Alligator mississippiensis: one gene and its partner. The protein of the gene in region 2 interacts with the protein of the main gene of each other region in a pairwise test. Links are inferred from orthologs where the notes say so. Each region holds a gene or a part of one and is shown on either strand. Other genes may lie near its edges.

Evidence for each region.
Region 1: the proteins of UBE2W (region 2) and MARCHF5 interact in binary tests that used the Homo sapiens proteins (3 or more experiments, as listed by UniProt). The link is inferred for Alligator mississippiensis from reciprocal best matches to the Homo sapiens genes UBE2W and MARCHF5.

Annotation. Positions count from the first base shown.
Region 1 is NC_081829.1:70,767,319-70,774,792, reverse strand, and holds the start of MARCHF5 (E3 ubiquitin-protein ligase MARCHF5), read left to right. Parts: upstream 1-4,403; 5' UTR 4,404-4,646; coding exon 4,647-4,690; intron 4,691-7,474. UniProt on the Homo sapiens protein: Mitochondrial E3 ubiquitin-protein ligase that plays a crucial role in the control of mitochondrial morphology by acting as a positive regulator of mitochondrial fission and as an important regulator of immune response.
Region 2 is NC_081826.1:58,931,431-58,938,373, reverse strand, and holds the start of UBE2W (ubiquitin-conjugating enzyme E2 W), read right to left. Parts: upstream 3,013-6,943; 5' UTR 2,919-3,012; coding exon 2,904-2,918; intron 1-2,903. UniProt on the Homo sapiens protein: Accepts ubiquitin from the E1 complex and catalyzes its covalent attachment to other proteins.

The sequences.
Region 1 (7,474 bases), on a different chromosome or scaffold from region 2:
ACAAGCAAAGGCTTAGCTATCATTCTGCCTTGTGGTCAGCTGCATTGCTAGGCCACAGGTCATGCCTTGTATTCAGCTGTAAAGCTAATACTTCTTAATAATCCAAATTATTGTTAACCTAACAGTATGCTATCAGAAAACTATTCTATTTCAGGGTAATAACAAACATGCTCACCATATCTGAAGCCTCTAATCTCTTAACCACCATTTTGATTTGATATTACTACATGTGTCTTTGTCCAAGCAACTGAACAGGAAAGCACAAGAGAAAGGTATTAAACAGAAGAAGAAAAACTAAAAACTATTCAACTGTTTAAGTGCAGTGTCTCAAATAGCCTCCTAAGTGAATGGTACCAGATAGGGAAAGCAATTTTAACAGATATAAAGGCACATAAAGAGCAACTACTACATTTCTCACGGACTTTGTGCAACTAAATTGATTTTTGGGGAGTGCTTTCCAAGGGGATTGGATAACCAAGGTTCTATCATACTGACCATGACCTGCTTATGTGCTCCCATGCACCTTCCAAACCCAAATAAGCACTGGTGAGGCTGTTGTCAAGCATACTACAGAGCAAAGAGGTCTCATGCATTTGAGTAAGAGCAGGTGGGTAGTGTTCCCTCATTGGTGTCCTAGCCAGGATAAATTAACAGTGTTGACACAACTCAAGGGCCTAATTGCTAGCTTATACTCTGACAGAGTATAAATAAAAGTAATTTTAATGTACTTTTGTCCACTTAGGCCTTCAGATTAAATCAGTAAAAGCAGTAAGGAGGACCTGCCCATCTTTTATTTTAACAATTTTAATTTAATGAATATATTAATTATTTTTTTCCAAGTAGAGTTTAAATTCTATTATAAAAGTAAACGGGATTTTTAATTTTCTGTACAAATATAAGTAAGTTTGTTAATTAGTTCAGGCGTTTATCCTTTAGAATCTTAGGAAAGTAGGACTAGAAGCCACTGCACAAGGTCATCTAGTCAAGTCCTCTGTTCAAGGCAGGATTGTCCCTGACTACACCATCCCAGCCAAGTGTCTGTCCAACCTGCTCTTGAAAATGTCCAAGGATGGACATTTCACAAGTTTTCTAGGTGGTGTGTTCCAATGCTTGACCACCCTCACAGTTAGCAACTTCCTCCTAGTCTCCAATCTCAATTTCCCATGCTGAAGTTTGGGGACATTACTCCTAGTCCTCTCCCCTACAGCTACAGAGACAAACCCATTTTCATCCTCTTTATAAGTCACCTTTCAGGTGTTTGTAGAATGTATCAGACTATTATCTGTCCATTATTAAAGACTATTATCAAATAACCCTAGTTCTTTCAGCCTTTCTTCATAAGTCTGGCTTCCCAGGCACCTAATCATTTTTGTTGCTTTGCACTAGATTTTAATCTGTCCACATCCTTCTTACAATGTGGGGCCAAAAACTGGACATAGTACTCCAGGTGAGGCTTCACCAGTGCTGATTAGAGTGGAAGAATCATTGCCCTTGATTTGTAGGTGACACTCCTATTAACACAAATCAGTATTCAGTTTATAGTCCAGTCTAAACTCCAGAACCTTCTTTGCAGTACTGCAGCCTAGCCAGTCACGCCCCAGTCTGTATTTGTGCATGCAATTATTCCATTTCAAGTACAGGACTTGGGATATACCTGCACTTGTCCTTGTTGACTCTCATCCGATTGCTTGAGGGCCATTTGTCCAGTCTATCCAGATAGTACTGGTTCCTAGCCCTACCCAATAAAGTAACTGCAACCCATCCCCATCCCCCCCAACTTGATGTTGTTCACAAATTTGCTAAGCATGTACTCAATCCCATCATCCAATTAATTAATAAAAAGTGGACGTGTAGCAGAAATGGTCCCTGGCCAAAGCAGCCAGCGGTCTTGAATCCAGGCCGATTGGCTTGGGAAGCCAGCAGCCTAAACACAAGGCTAGAGCAACAGGACTTCCTGAAATTTAAAGACATGTTAATAGTTCTTGACTCCTCATTTATATGCAACTTTGCATTCCTATTTGAATCACTAGGTAAATGCTATTCTAAATGTCTTGAGTACAATTATTTTTATACAGTTATGAATTATGTTAACTGTTTCTATTAACGCTAGAGCAGGCAAGGGAAAGAATATTTGTCAAAACAAATGGCAGACAGCCTATAGACCTTCAGCTCTGGCAAGCTCTGCAGAACTCTATAGACTCTTAAAGCCATCTTTACTCAAAATATTAAGGAACTAAATGGGGTAGAGTAGAAGTGTGTTCCTAGAGGAGCCAGTGAATATAAAGTGCTTCACAATACTTTCTGCAATTAATCTGCCTAAGCAGACACTTTTGCATTTCCAGAGTTCTACTGAAGTCAATGGCAGCTGAGCAGGTGCCTAAGTCAAGGTGTTTGAATGCAGTTGCAAAATTAGTGGCTATGCTTGGAGCTGCATTTTTTGTATTTTCTCCCAAACTTGCTGAAGATTAATGAAAGCACAACTTATTTAAAAAAATGCAATAAATTAAACACAGAAAAATATTGAAAACGTTAGAAGAAAACTATCAGATACTTTGGAAAGTACTGGAGACAAATTTATGTACTTAGCACAATTTTCTACCAGTCCTGGCACAGTAGAAAACTATGCATTCAAGTAATTTCCCATGTCCAACAATTTAAATCTTTCATGGCTGTTAATATCTCTTCTAAAAAAAAAGAAGAATGAAACAAACCCTCCTCCATGGAGCATTAATGTAACACCCAAACCGAAGACATAATACAACATTTATCCAAGGCACATCATTTCTACAGAAAGGGACACATTTGAAAGTAACTGAACAGGACTAGAAAAGGTCATGGATATATTCTGTAATCCTTGCAGATCATTCGTCCCATTCACTTCAGTATTGGCTACTGGACACACTAAAACTTTCAACATATGCACATGTGTGTATGTTGGTGATATATACCAAATGGTAATATTAAAATAAAACATGCGAAGGAAGGAATTGATGCTTTTCAAAGTGGGAAGAGGAAGACAACAGTTGTGACCTTGTCTATACTGGAAAAATATGCTGCTTTAGCTAGTATAATACAATTCAGATAGTACAACTCCCTACTTTAGGTGCAGTTATGGTGGTGCAAAGGTGTTTTGCACCGCTATAAAGAAGAATAGAACTATAATGCACCATATACCAATGACACCAATATAACCCCATAATGGTTCTTACCACTAACTATGTCACTAAATTTTATACCCTGGCCATTATACCAATAAAATTTTCAAGCCTAGATGGGGCCTAAACAAAGGAGTATATAATATGGGAAGGAAAAAGGACCAATACAAAAAGGGGAACAATAAATGAAAATACACTTCAGCCGAAGAAAAACACATGTTCAATTTCAAGTATCCAGTTACGGAACAATGTTCTAGCAGTTCAATTAACGCAGGTATCAGACCACATCACAAGACCTCGTTTCTCGGGATGCTTTCCAGCTCCAGCTAATATTTAATATTAAACCACCAGGCAAAGGAAACAAGCCTCTCCCACGGAGAGGAGGCAAGAGTGGGGTGGTGGGAAGTAACCTCTGAAGTTCCCTCAGCCCTTCCTGCGCCTGCCCATCGCTACAGCCAGGGCTGCAGTGCCCAGCACACAACTGTCAGTTTGCTTCAATTGCCCAGAAACAACTGGTATTTCGGTGTCACTGTAGTTGACAAATCGTGAAATATTTTAGTAAACGTCAAGACAGACACCCACCCAGACCACAGCGCCGAAGGAACCAGAGGCTCTTCTAAATCAAGCACGAGTTGCTGGTCGCTCCTCAGGGACCCCCGGAGAGGAGACTCCTCAGTGGGGCGGCGGGGGAAGGGGCTGTCACAGAGACCGTTAACGGCCATAACGGACCCGCTGTCCCGGGACCAGAGGCAGAGACGAGACGAGCCGGGCGCGCACCCTTCGGTACCGGCTCCAGCTCCGCACCCGCCCCGTCTGGGCTCAGCCCCCGTCTCGCCCTTCGCCACAGGCCCGCTCCCCCCACGGCGGGAGCTGCTCGCACCGGCGCGCGCCCCTTGGGGACTGCCCAGGGGTCCCTTCCCCCTCATGTTTCCGAGCGGCCGCGGGGCACGAAGCAAGGTCCCCCCACTCGGGGGAAGCGGCGGCTCCGCTTAACTCCCCCGGGGCGAGGGAGCAGCGAGGGGCTTGGTGCTGACCTTTCCCTCAGCGAACGTGGCCATCCCGCCGCTTCCGTCCCCCTCGGAAGGCGGCGCCTACCTGCCCGCGAGCGGCAGCCGGGACGCCGGCCCCGGGGGCCTTTAAATCCCCTCCGCCGCGGGCGGCGCCAGGACTACATCTCCCAGGGGGCTGCGCGTGCCGCTCAGCAGCGCCGACGCGGGGCGGGGCTGCGCCGCCTGACCTCACAGAGGAGCCAGCCCCGCCCGCCTGTGTGGCGCTGCGCAGCGCAGCTCAGCGCGTGGGGAGCCTGGGCCTGCGCCCGCTGCAGCCACCTCCGGCGCGCTGGGCCCCGTCCCTGTCCCCGTCCGCTGACGGAGGGGCCAACGGGGCGGCGCGGGGAGGAGCCGCTGTCGCTGCTAGGTTCTGGGCCCGGGGCTAGGACGGGCGCTTTGCCCGTGCTGCGGTGGCGGGGCCTGCGCGCCCCCGGCCCTGGGGATGTCGGAGCCGGTGGGCTCGGCGCTGCAGCAGACCATGGACAGGTGCGGGGAATGCGGGGGGAGACCGGACCGGTCGGTGCCGCCGGCCTGGCTCCGGGGGCCGCGGGGCGGAGCGCTGCGGTCCGGGGTCTAGTTTCACTTCCGGCCTCTGCTACTAAGTCTGTTGCTTTAAACACATCGCTTGACCCGCCGATGTCTCCCTTACTGGTCTGTGAAACGGTGGTTACACGACCGCGCAGCCCTCTGGGATGTTGTGAGGCTCAGGAATATTTAATAAGAGAAACAGGGACTTCTGTGCAGGATCTTGTATCAGACCAGCCTCACGGTTGGGGTAGACTTAGATGCGCTTCTGAGGGCTAAGCGTTCTTCTCCATGTCTTCCTCGGCTTCTAAGGTACTTGAGTACAAAGCTGATTGGGGCATTTTGATAGATGTTTTTGGAAGGGGCATAAAGATAAAGGATAATCACTGTTGAGTTAAAGAGGAAATTGCAGGGACTGGAGGCAGGGCAGTAAAGAGTGTGACTAGATATGTTAGAGAATCCTGATGGGAGACAATGGGATTGTGTGTTTTTTGTTGTGTTTTGCTGTAGAAAGTGAGTGAGATGGCCAGTTAAACTTGAAAATGTTACTTTTGTTTACATTTCCAAATCAAATGCATCAGAAAAAAGATTCAGTACTTCCACCCCACCAAGTGAAGGTTGAGAGGTCTAAAGGCATAATTATGAGCCAACAAAGATCTCTTAAAACAGAAAAAGAGCAGAAAGCTGAGCATCTTGATGCTTTAAAAGGCGGGCCAACAAGCCTGAAATCGACATCAGGGAGATGCCATCGGTCTTTCATCACAAGGAATCAAAAAAAGACATGTACACAGTGTTTTTCTTCTTTACAGGTTATCTTTAAGGAGAGTGAATTAGTGAAATACAGGATGTTAATGGTGAATAAGGAAAATTAAACTGTGTGAACAGAGCTCTAGGAAGCACTGAAAGTCACAAAGAAGAATTTAAGTTAGAGATACGCCAATATATTGGTTCGTACCAGATCGGCACCGATAAAGGAAAATCAACATTATCGACAATCAGCTTTTTGGCCCATGTAACAGATAATGTGTCTGATAAATGCTGTGTGCGTGTGTGCAGTCACAGCATACACACGGCCAGGAACGCAGCCTTGCAGCTTGGAAAGCAGCATCCCGCCATTAAATCTGCGGAGAGAAAAGGGGTGTTGGAGTAGGGGCAGACCAAGGCCCCCACAGTGAGGGACGGAGTGGGTCTGGGGCAGGCACTACCCAGCCAGGGCAGGGTGCTGGACAGAGCCACAGGATGGCAGATTGCCCAGGGGGCATGAGGCGGTAGAGAGGGGGCAGCTTCCCATTGCTGCGTGCACCCCCTGATTTGTGCGCGAGGTGAGGGCGGGCTCGGCCAGGGACTACGCTCGGGGAGGTGGGGTGGGTGGCAGTGGCACTGGGAGGGGGAGCTATGGGGGAGCTATAGTCACCCCAAAATTCTCTGTAACCCCCTTCCCAGCACCACCACTGCTTGCCCCAAGCGCAGCTCCAGCACAGCCCTTGGCTCACCAAAACTTGTTAAGTGGCCTGGCAGCTGAAATAATTGCCCACTCTGGCTTTAGAGACAACCTTCTCCTTAGTTTTTTTGGTCATAACTCACTATTAACTTTTGTTGTTGTTGTTGCACTTAGAGGTGCACCGATATATCAGTACCAATCTGATATTGGACTGATATAAAGAAAATTTGCTGTATTGGATATTGGCCCAATGGGGCCAATAATTTGGCAGATAAATGCTCGTGCTGCGCGCAGCCATGAGCAGAGCCCAGCAGCATGGAGAGCTGCCTCCAGCTGGTCAGTCTGTTGTGGTGGAAGGGGGAGGGAAGGAATGTGGTAGGGCAGGGGGCAGAACAATGCCTCCTGCAGTGAGAAAGGGGACAAGCATGGGCAGGTGTTGCTAGGATGGGAGTGGGGGGGGGCTCCCACCGCTGCTTGCACCCCGAGGGGCCCAGATCTGTGCAGGGCAGGGTGGGTTGGCGGGCTGGAGCCGGGGCTGCTTGGGGCTGTTCTTGGCAGGGGCTGGACTCGAAGCGGGTGCAGGGAGGGTGCTGCATCCACCCCAGATTTTGCTGCAGCTCAGGTCACAGTGCTGCTGCCGCCAGCCACTGGTGCTGCCCTGGTCTTCCCAGTGGGTGGATGGAGGCAGGGCACTGAGCCGGAGCAGTGCCGGAGGGCTGGCGGTGGCAGTGCTGGGAGCAGAGCTGTGGTGAAATTTGCGGTGGATGCAGCATCATTCTAGCACAGCTGACTCCCGCTCGGAAACCAGCCCCTGCTGAGAAGAACCCCGTGCAGCCCACCCCTCCTCGTGCAGATCCAGGGGCACACGCCCCCTCCCCTCTCCTCCTCTCCCCACTTGCAGTTCTATCAGTTGAGATGCTCTGTAAAGAAGGGCTCACAGCACTTTGTTTAAAAAATGATTGAAGTGTTGGAAATCTCTACCATATCAGGTGAACTTGACGCGCTAAGTGATTGGGGTACAAGCATTTGAACAAATGCTTGCACACAACCAATTGACTGGGGATGCAAGGGTGCCTTCTAACATCCCAGCATACTGTGCTCACCTCTCCCTTCCCCCCCCCCTGTGGCCCCCCAAAGGGAGGCTCTGTGACCTGGGCTGCACTCTGCTGCTGCAGCCCTAGTGTCAGAAAGCCCTTCCTACTAACAGCTGAGGCACTGGGAAAAAATCCAATGCTTCTCTACAGCCCAGAGGACCTGGAGCTGTCATTTTTCCCCCCCCCCCCCCCCCCCAGTAGTGGTGGGGG
Region 2 (6,943 bases):
TTTCTTTTTTTTTAACATTGCTAATATTTCTGTGTTTAATTCACAAAACTCTTGATCTTCCCTAATTTTGCTGCATGTGCTGAGGGTTTAAAAATCTCTGGTAGCTTTCATAATTTAAGGTAAGTGACTGGGTTATTGAATTTTAGCAGACTTTTTCCTCTCCCTAAAACACTGGTCACTACACAAAGTCATTTTTAATTATTGTTTGCTTTTAGTTACTCCAGTTTCACTCTCCAAGCTTCATGTCAGATCCTTCATTGTCCAAACATAGCCCAACTATCAGGATAAAAACAAAAGGCGAAGAGGGGGAAAATAAAAACAACATATTTCAGACCATCCATGTACATCTTAAAATGCCAAAAAATTAAAAACAAAAAAACACAAGCCCATATTTTCTATTTTGGAGATCACCTTTAAATGACTGGAACAGAGATGATGTCCATATTAAATACATTTACAGAAAATACTGCATAAAAAGTTTCAAAGATCAAATAAAATAGAAGTCTAAAGTGAATAAGCATGCTCCTGCTTTGTCAAGGAAATTGCATCCATCTCAAAAAATCTGAGGCATTTTGAGGAGTTATTTACTTTTGTTGCATGCAGCACCAAGAATTAACTGCCATAACTGCAAGATTATAAACAATGAAAGTTTCTTCTTTACTTTGAATACCTGACAAAGCTTTGTGTATAATCAGTTCCCCCCACTTTCACAGGTCTTTCAAAACACAGGAGGTGCTTATTAAGGAACCACAAAATAAGACTGGACCAGAATGGAAGATGTGCACTACCTGGAGACACACATGCACATCAAAATTATACTTATAAAATAATTTTGAAGTTTATGAGCCTGTTTTAAATCAAAACATACCCTTCCGACTTGCAAATTGCCCTTTAAAAAAATTAACAGAATCTAAAACATTTATAACATTCCCCAGAATTTTAAAGGTTCCACACTTAACAAGACTGAAATGAGTAGTGTCCATAATATACTATCAATAAATGCAGATGCCCAAGAGAATAGTATTTATTACATTAAAAAAGAAAAGAACTAACTTCCTCACTACCATATTTTCAAGAAATAGGTATTAGCCAGAAGACTTATTACCACAATTTCTCACATATAACCCACAGCTTTTTCCCAAATGCAACTGGGAAAAATTGGGGTGTACATTATTAACAAGGAAAAGGACTCCTCACAAATCTGGTTTGTTTGGGGGTTTTTTTTGGGGGGGGGGGGGGGGGAGAAAGGGTGGAGCAGTGGTAGCATTAATTACCCTGGTTCTGGGAACCACTACAATTAACATTGCCACTGCTCTTCACTCTTCCCCAAATTTCCCAACCTGTGGAGAGTCCTTGTCCCCAGTCACATGCTGGACTGGGACAGTGCATAGGGTTGTCCTACAGCTGGAATTGGTACACCAGGTCCAACCCACCACATGGTCCTGGACCCAGCACATGGCTTCAGATCCAGAGTGGTCAGTCTGGCACCATGTACAGCCAGCGCTCAGGGTTGGATTTAACCTGCAGCCCTGCCCTGCCAAGTAGTCCCAGTTTCGGCTTGCTGAATCCATCCCCACTGCACAACAAGTCAGATCGGGCTAGCCCCAGTCCCAGCCTCAGAGATCCCCAGATACCTGGTACTTACCTGTACTCCAAGGCAAGATTCCTGCCCCCCCTACCCCCATCTTGGTGCCTTCCAATAATAAGGGGCATATTACTCACGAAAATACACTACTAGCACTGTAACTTTTGACCTGTTGATCTCCCTAAGCTCCTTAATTATTATCCCTCTTTTACAGAAAAGGAAGAAAGGTGATGGGTGGGAAGACAGTTAAACAAGCTCCTGAAGGACATTTAAAAGGCATAAAGAAACAGAACTCTAGCATCTCAAGTCCCACAAACTGCCTCCTCCAAGTTTCACAATCGATACTTCCCCATATCTGCACCAGGTTTTGAAACAGATCATTGCCCCAAAATTCTGTTTTGCAATTAGTCAAAACTGGGCTGCTTGAAGAAATGCGAGCATAAAATCATCCAACACTTCAAACATGAATGGTCTCACACAGCTCTTCAAGAAACTGGAAACAAAGGACTGACGAGTCTCTCGGACTAGTGGATTACTTGGGGCATTGCTAAATCGGGAATATTCTGTGCTGCGTGTTCAAGCTTTCTGCTCCCTTTCATCTGAAATGACTCAAAAGACCAGAGGACTTCTACCCCTTTCCTGCAGAGCTCTCCACAAGCAAAACCTGAGGACAGTTTCCCCAACATCCCCAGTTTAAGGTTGGGGCACTTAGCTCCTGTTACTCCTACACAGGTGCACAGCTCCTGGTCTGGTTTGCACTTCCCTCCCAGGATGGGGCATCCCAGGAGCCAGGGCCAAGGCTTTATGTGGAAGGAGCTTCGCTGGACCAGAGGATTAGGAGTAGAGACAACCTTGAGAAAACCTAAGCCAGCCAACTGAGAAGATGGTTCCAGGTGGGAGGAGGAAGGGTGGGCATTTCTTTTCAGAGTTAAGGGAGGACTTTGGAAAGGAAAGCCAAGAAGCTGCAGGCCGGCGCCTGACAGGGACGGGCGGGGAAGCCGTGGGAAGCAGCCACCGAACCACCCAGCCCCGCCAATGCCGCACCGCGCAGACGCCGCCGCTTCCGCGGTCAGCACCCGGGCCGTAGAAGGACCCGCCACGGCAGCGGGCTGCGGCCCAGCCCGACGGGGAGCGGAGCGGGGCCCCCACGGCGCGCAGGGCCCCGCCCCACCGGGCGCTCCCAGCTACCCCCGGCCCGGCCCGGCCCTGCGGAGCAGAAGGCGCCCCTGGGAGCAACCTCCACCCCCGCACCACCAACCGCTGGCACCGCCAGCCCTCAGGGAGCTCCGCCGGCCCGGCGCCGCCGCAGGCTCCTCACCTGCATGGACGCCATATTGGATCCTCCCCCTCCCCTCTGCGCCGCCGACCCGACCGCTACAGACGCAGCGCCGCCGCCGCCGGGTCACGTGGGCCGCAGCCCGGGCACCGCGCATGCGCCGTGGCGAACAGAGCCCCACGTGCCTCGAGCTGCACCAGGCCCTGTCTTCCGAGGAGCCCGGCCTCGCCTTACCGTATTGCGCAGTGTGTAAGGAGCGGGCCGCGGAACACGTCGGCCCGAGCCCTGGAGGAAGGAGGGCAGCTGCGCCTTCTTCACGGCTTGTGCAAGGGGGGGGTTGGCTTTGCATGGCCTGGGCTGTCCTCATCTGGCTCCAGGCCACAGCAAACAGGTGAAGGGAGCTGAGCAGTGATCCCAGGGGCCATGCATCCTGCCACAAAGGTCTCTAACGTGTGGCTGGTCCGGGTCTGCAATAAGCCTCTTTCAGCCCACCCCCCGCCTTGCATAATTAAAGTAATGTCTGCCAGGTTAAAGACAGACTGGTTCTGGGGAGGCATAAGTTTTCAGAGGCAACCAGCTACTTCATTGGCTCTGCATTAAATCAAGAACATCTTTGTAGCTGGCTCCCCAATATATCACATGGGAAATTAGCTGGATGGGTGGCACAGGACATTTATTGTACAATTCACAAGTCAGTGCTGTGATACATGCAACACCTGCTGGGCCTGAAAGGCCTGCCCTGCTCTGTGCTGTACTCAACTTCATGCTAGCGTAGCTAGCTACCTCACCTTACCACACAGCAATGGTAGAGGAGCAAAACCTGCTCTGTGCCCCTTCTAGAGCAGTAGCACGATCCTGGGAGGTTTTTGTACTGTTAATTAATTAATTAAAATAGTTTTGCCTAACCTGCATAAAATGAACTGCCAAACAGGAGATTTTAGCACACCTTTAACTCTTCTATGAAATATGAACTTTCATTTCTATCTGGAAGAACTTTTACAATCTTTTCTCCTGTGCCTAAAAAGGCATGCTTGTGCCCAAAAGCTTGAAATTAAAGAATTTTTTTTTCAAAAATCTTGTTTATTAGAATAACTATGTCTCCTCTACCATAAGTTCTGATACCTGTTGCCTCTAGACCAATATGGCTGCAACCCGGATACCTTAAAATGGTTTCTGCACTGATGTTCTCATTCTTGAGTACTGGACACTAATAATATCACTGTAATGTATTTGCTTACTTTCCCAGGTTTTGAAAATGGAGAAAACAGGGGCAGGGCATGAAAGGGAACACCTTTGTGATTTGAACTAAAACAGTAAGTGTGCTAAGTTATAGTGAATCAGCTGTCTCAGAAAGGACAACATTCATTGATTTACAGGCAGCAGGGAAATAGTAAATGCATTTAAACTTGGCTGTGGAAGGAACTAATAACCTACTAAAAGTGAGACTGAAAAGGTGTGGGGGATAGGGGCCTTGAAGACATCTAGAAACATCTTTACACTAAAGGAAATATAAAGATGACCCTCAGTTATTTCAGTTTCTAGCTCAGTTTCTTCTAACTCTCGTGTATCACCTCCTTCTAAACACAGCATGATCAAGCTCATGGTAATGCCCCACCAACACTGATGATAAAACTAATGCTTCCAAAAGCACATCAGATCTCACACACAGCTAGTGCAAGTGTGCGCTGCTCTGATGATGCTGTTGGAGTCGGACTGATGCATAGAAGCTGAGGCTCTGGCCACCTACATTTTACCTGAAGGTCTTTTATCTACATGCTGGCAGATTCCACTGAAGTTTATGTGATAACATTTGACAAGATCATAATTCCAGGTGACATTTGTGTTACACTGAAGTGATTGGTATAAATACCTTCAGTTTGCTGTACTACTTTTGAACTAAATTGCGCAATTAAAATATTAAATGCAAATTGTTGTTACTGTTCCACTAGATTAAGTCATTTGACACATATACATGTTATTCTAAAAAGCATTCCTTGATGCAAAACGCCACACATGTCAAGAACACTAAGGTTAGGCAACAGACACGTGCTTAGTTAAAAACATACTGATGGTTAGCCAACAAGGGTGTAATGACAGTAAAAAATTATTTGAATCCATTATAATCAACTTTTGAATCCTGTGTTCCAGAAAACCTAGCTCAAGGTCAAATGATAAGAGGTGTGTGCAAGGCTGCTACGCCTCAGTGTGCAAATCAGATTTTCCTTTGTATGACAGTGTGGAATCAGAAAAAATATATGCCTTAAACTTTGATTATTTTAGTTATAAGATGACATAACCGCTTTGTGTAGAATTGCTGGCTCGGTACAGTAGAACAGATAAGGGCAAGTGTTTGTTCTTTGTAACTCTTCTGCAAATGCTTCGCTCACCGCGGCCTTGAAGGTAGAAAAAAAAAGTATGTACAAAGTAGATTTCCAGGTGCAAGAAGGAGGTTTGTGAACTAACCCTATCTCCCCCATAATTCCCATCCTGATAACAGCAAAGAAATAATGAAGTAATATTATAGCCGCTTTTCATGCTAATTTCACTATATGATCACGTGAGTTGTAAGCGACTGTTAAAAAGTATATAAGCCTCCTGATTTTGCTCTTGGGGGGGGGGACCCCTTCCAAGTGCTTGGGAAATCCATGTCACTTTGGAACTCCCCCTACAGCTGTAGTTTCTTTTGAATAAAAGCTTCTGCTGACCTGACCCAAAAGTACTCTGTGTGTGTTTCCACGACAATTCCTGGTGCCGTGACTCGGATCCAGAACACAGGCTGAGGAAGGAGGACCGCAGGCTACCCCCCCCCGAACCCTGAGGCGCCAAACTTGAGAGGTAAGAGACCTAATTCAAAATCTCTATTGGGGTTTCGGAGGAGGACTGCCTGTAGGCTCCCAACTTGGCCGTGATAACTGGATCTGAACCTTGTTAAAACAGGTCAGTCTGAACCTTACTGCCGGCTAAAATTTTCTGTCTGGTAAAGGATCCCATTTTGTGTCTGGTAACGTACGTTTTAGGGAGAAACTGTTTGAGGCACCTTCATCCAACAGCACATCGGGCTTGTAGTTAATTAACTAAGGCGGTGTGGGGTAGGAGGTCTGGCTGACTGAATAAATGTGCATGTGTGTGTGTATTTAGAAATATGAGCCACTGACCAGGACTGAGACTACGGTTGGGCTCAGCCGCCCCAATTCTGCCTGACAGGGCAGTTTTGAAAGCAAGGGGGCCCAACTGGAACCTCGTGACCCAGTGGACAGGGCGTCTGAGTGATTTTGTCTTTTCCAAACCCCTCGTCCCAGTAGCTTCTGCCGAAAGCAGGAGTGAAAGGATCCCTCTAGTGTTTCCCTCCCCATTTCCATTTTATGAGCCGGTGTCGGGTCAGAAGCCTTTTGTCTGGGCAGTGAAAAACTGCGGGGCAAGGCACTGAGCGGCCCGGACATCCTAAATAAGCCTCTCCTACATCTCCCTGTGTGACTGAAAATGGGAACAAGTCAGTCTAAACAGGTTCCTGTCCCCCCTAAGGGGACTCCGGCGTACTTTATGTACACACACTATTCTCCCGTGACTTGCAAGTACTTGAATAAGTGGAACTGGTATACTAGGGATGATCCTGTGAAACATTTTCCACAGGAAGGAACATTTGATCAGGATAAAATAGTGCACTTGAGAGGGGCGTTAGAGTCCCGTGGATCCAAAACACCACAAAACCAGTGGGACGCGTTCTTTTATTGGTATGATGAAATGTCCAAAAGGCGGACAGAATCTCAAACTAGGAGCCTAAAAGACTCTCAAGAAAAATTAAAACAGCAGTTAAAAGCTGTTCGGGAGAAATTGGCTGCTCCCCCAAATTACACGCTGGCCACCGCTCCGATGTATCCAGCATTGCCCGGGGCGCCCCCACCACCGGAGCCAGCAGAGGATATCCTTGACCTTTGTTCGAACCCTGCTCTCCTGGGACTCCCACATCAGCAACAACCGGTTCAACATCAGGCTGCAGCCCAGGCTAGTGACCCATTAGCTGAAGCTCCTTCAGTAAATCCATCCACGGAGCTTAATAGTCCGGACTCATCCACCATATCTGC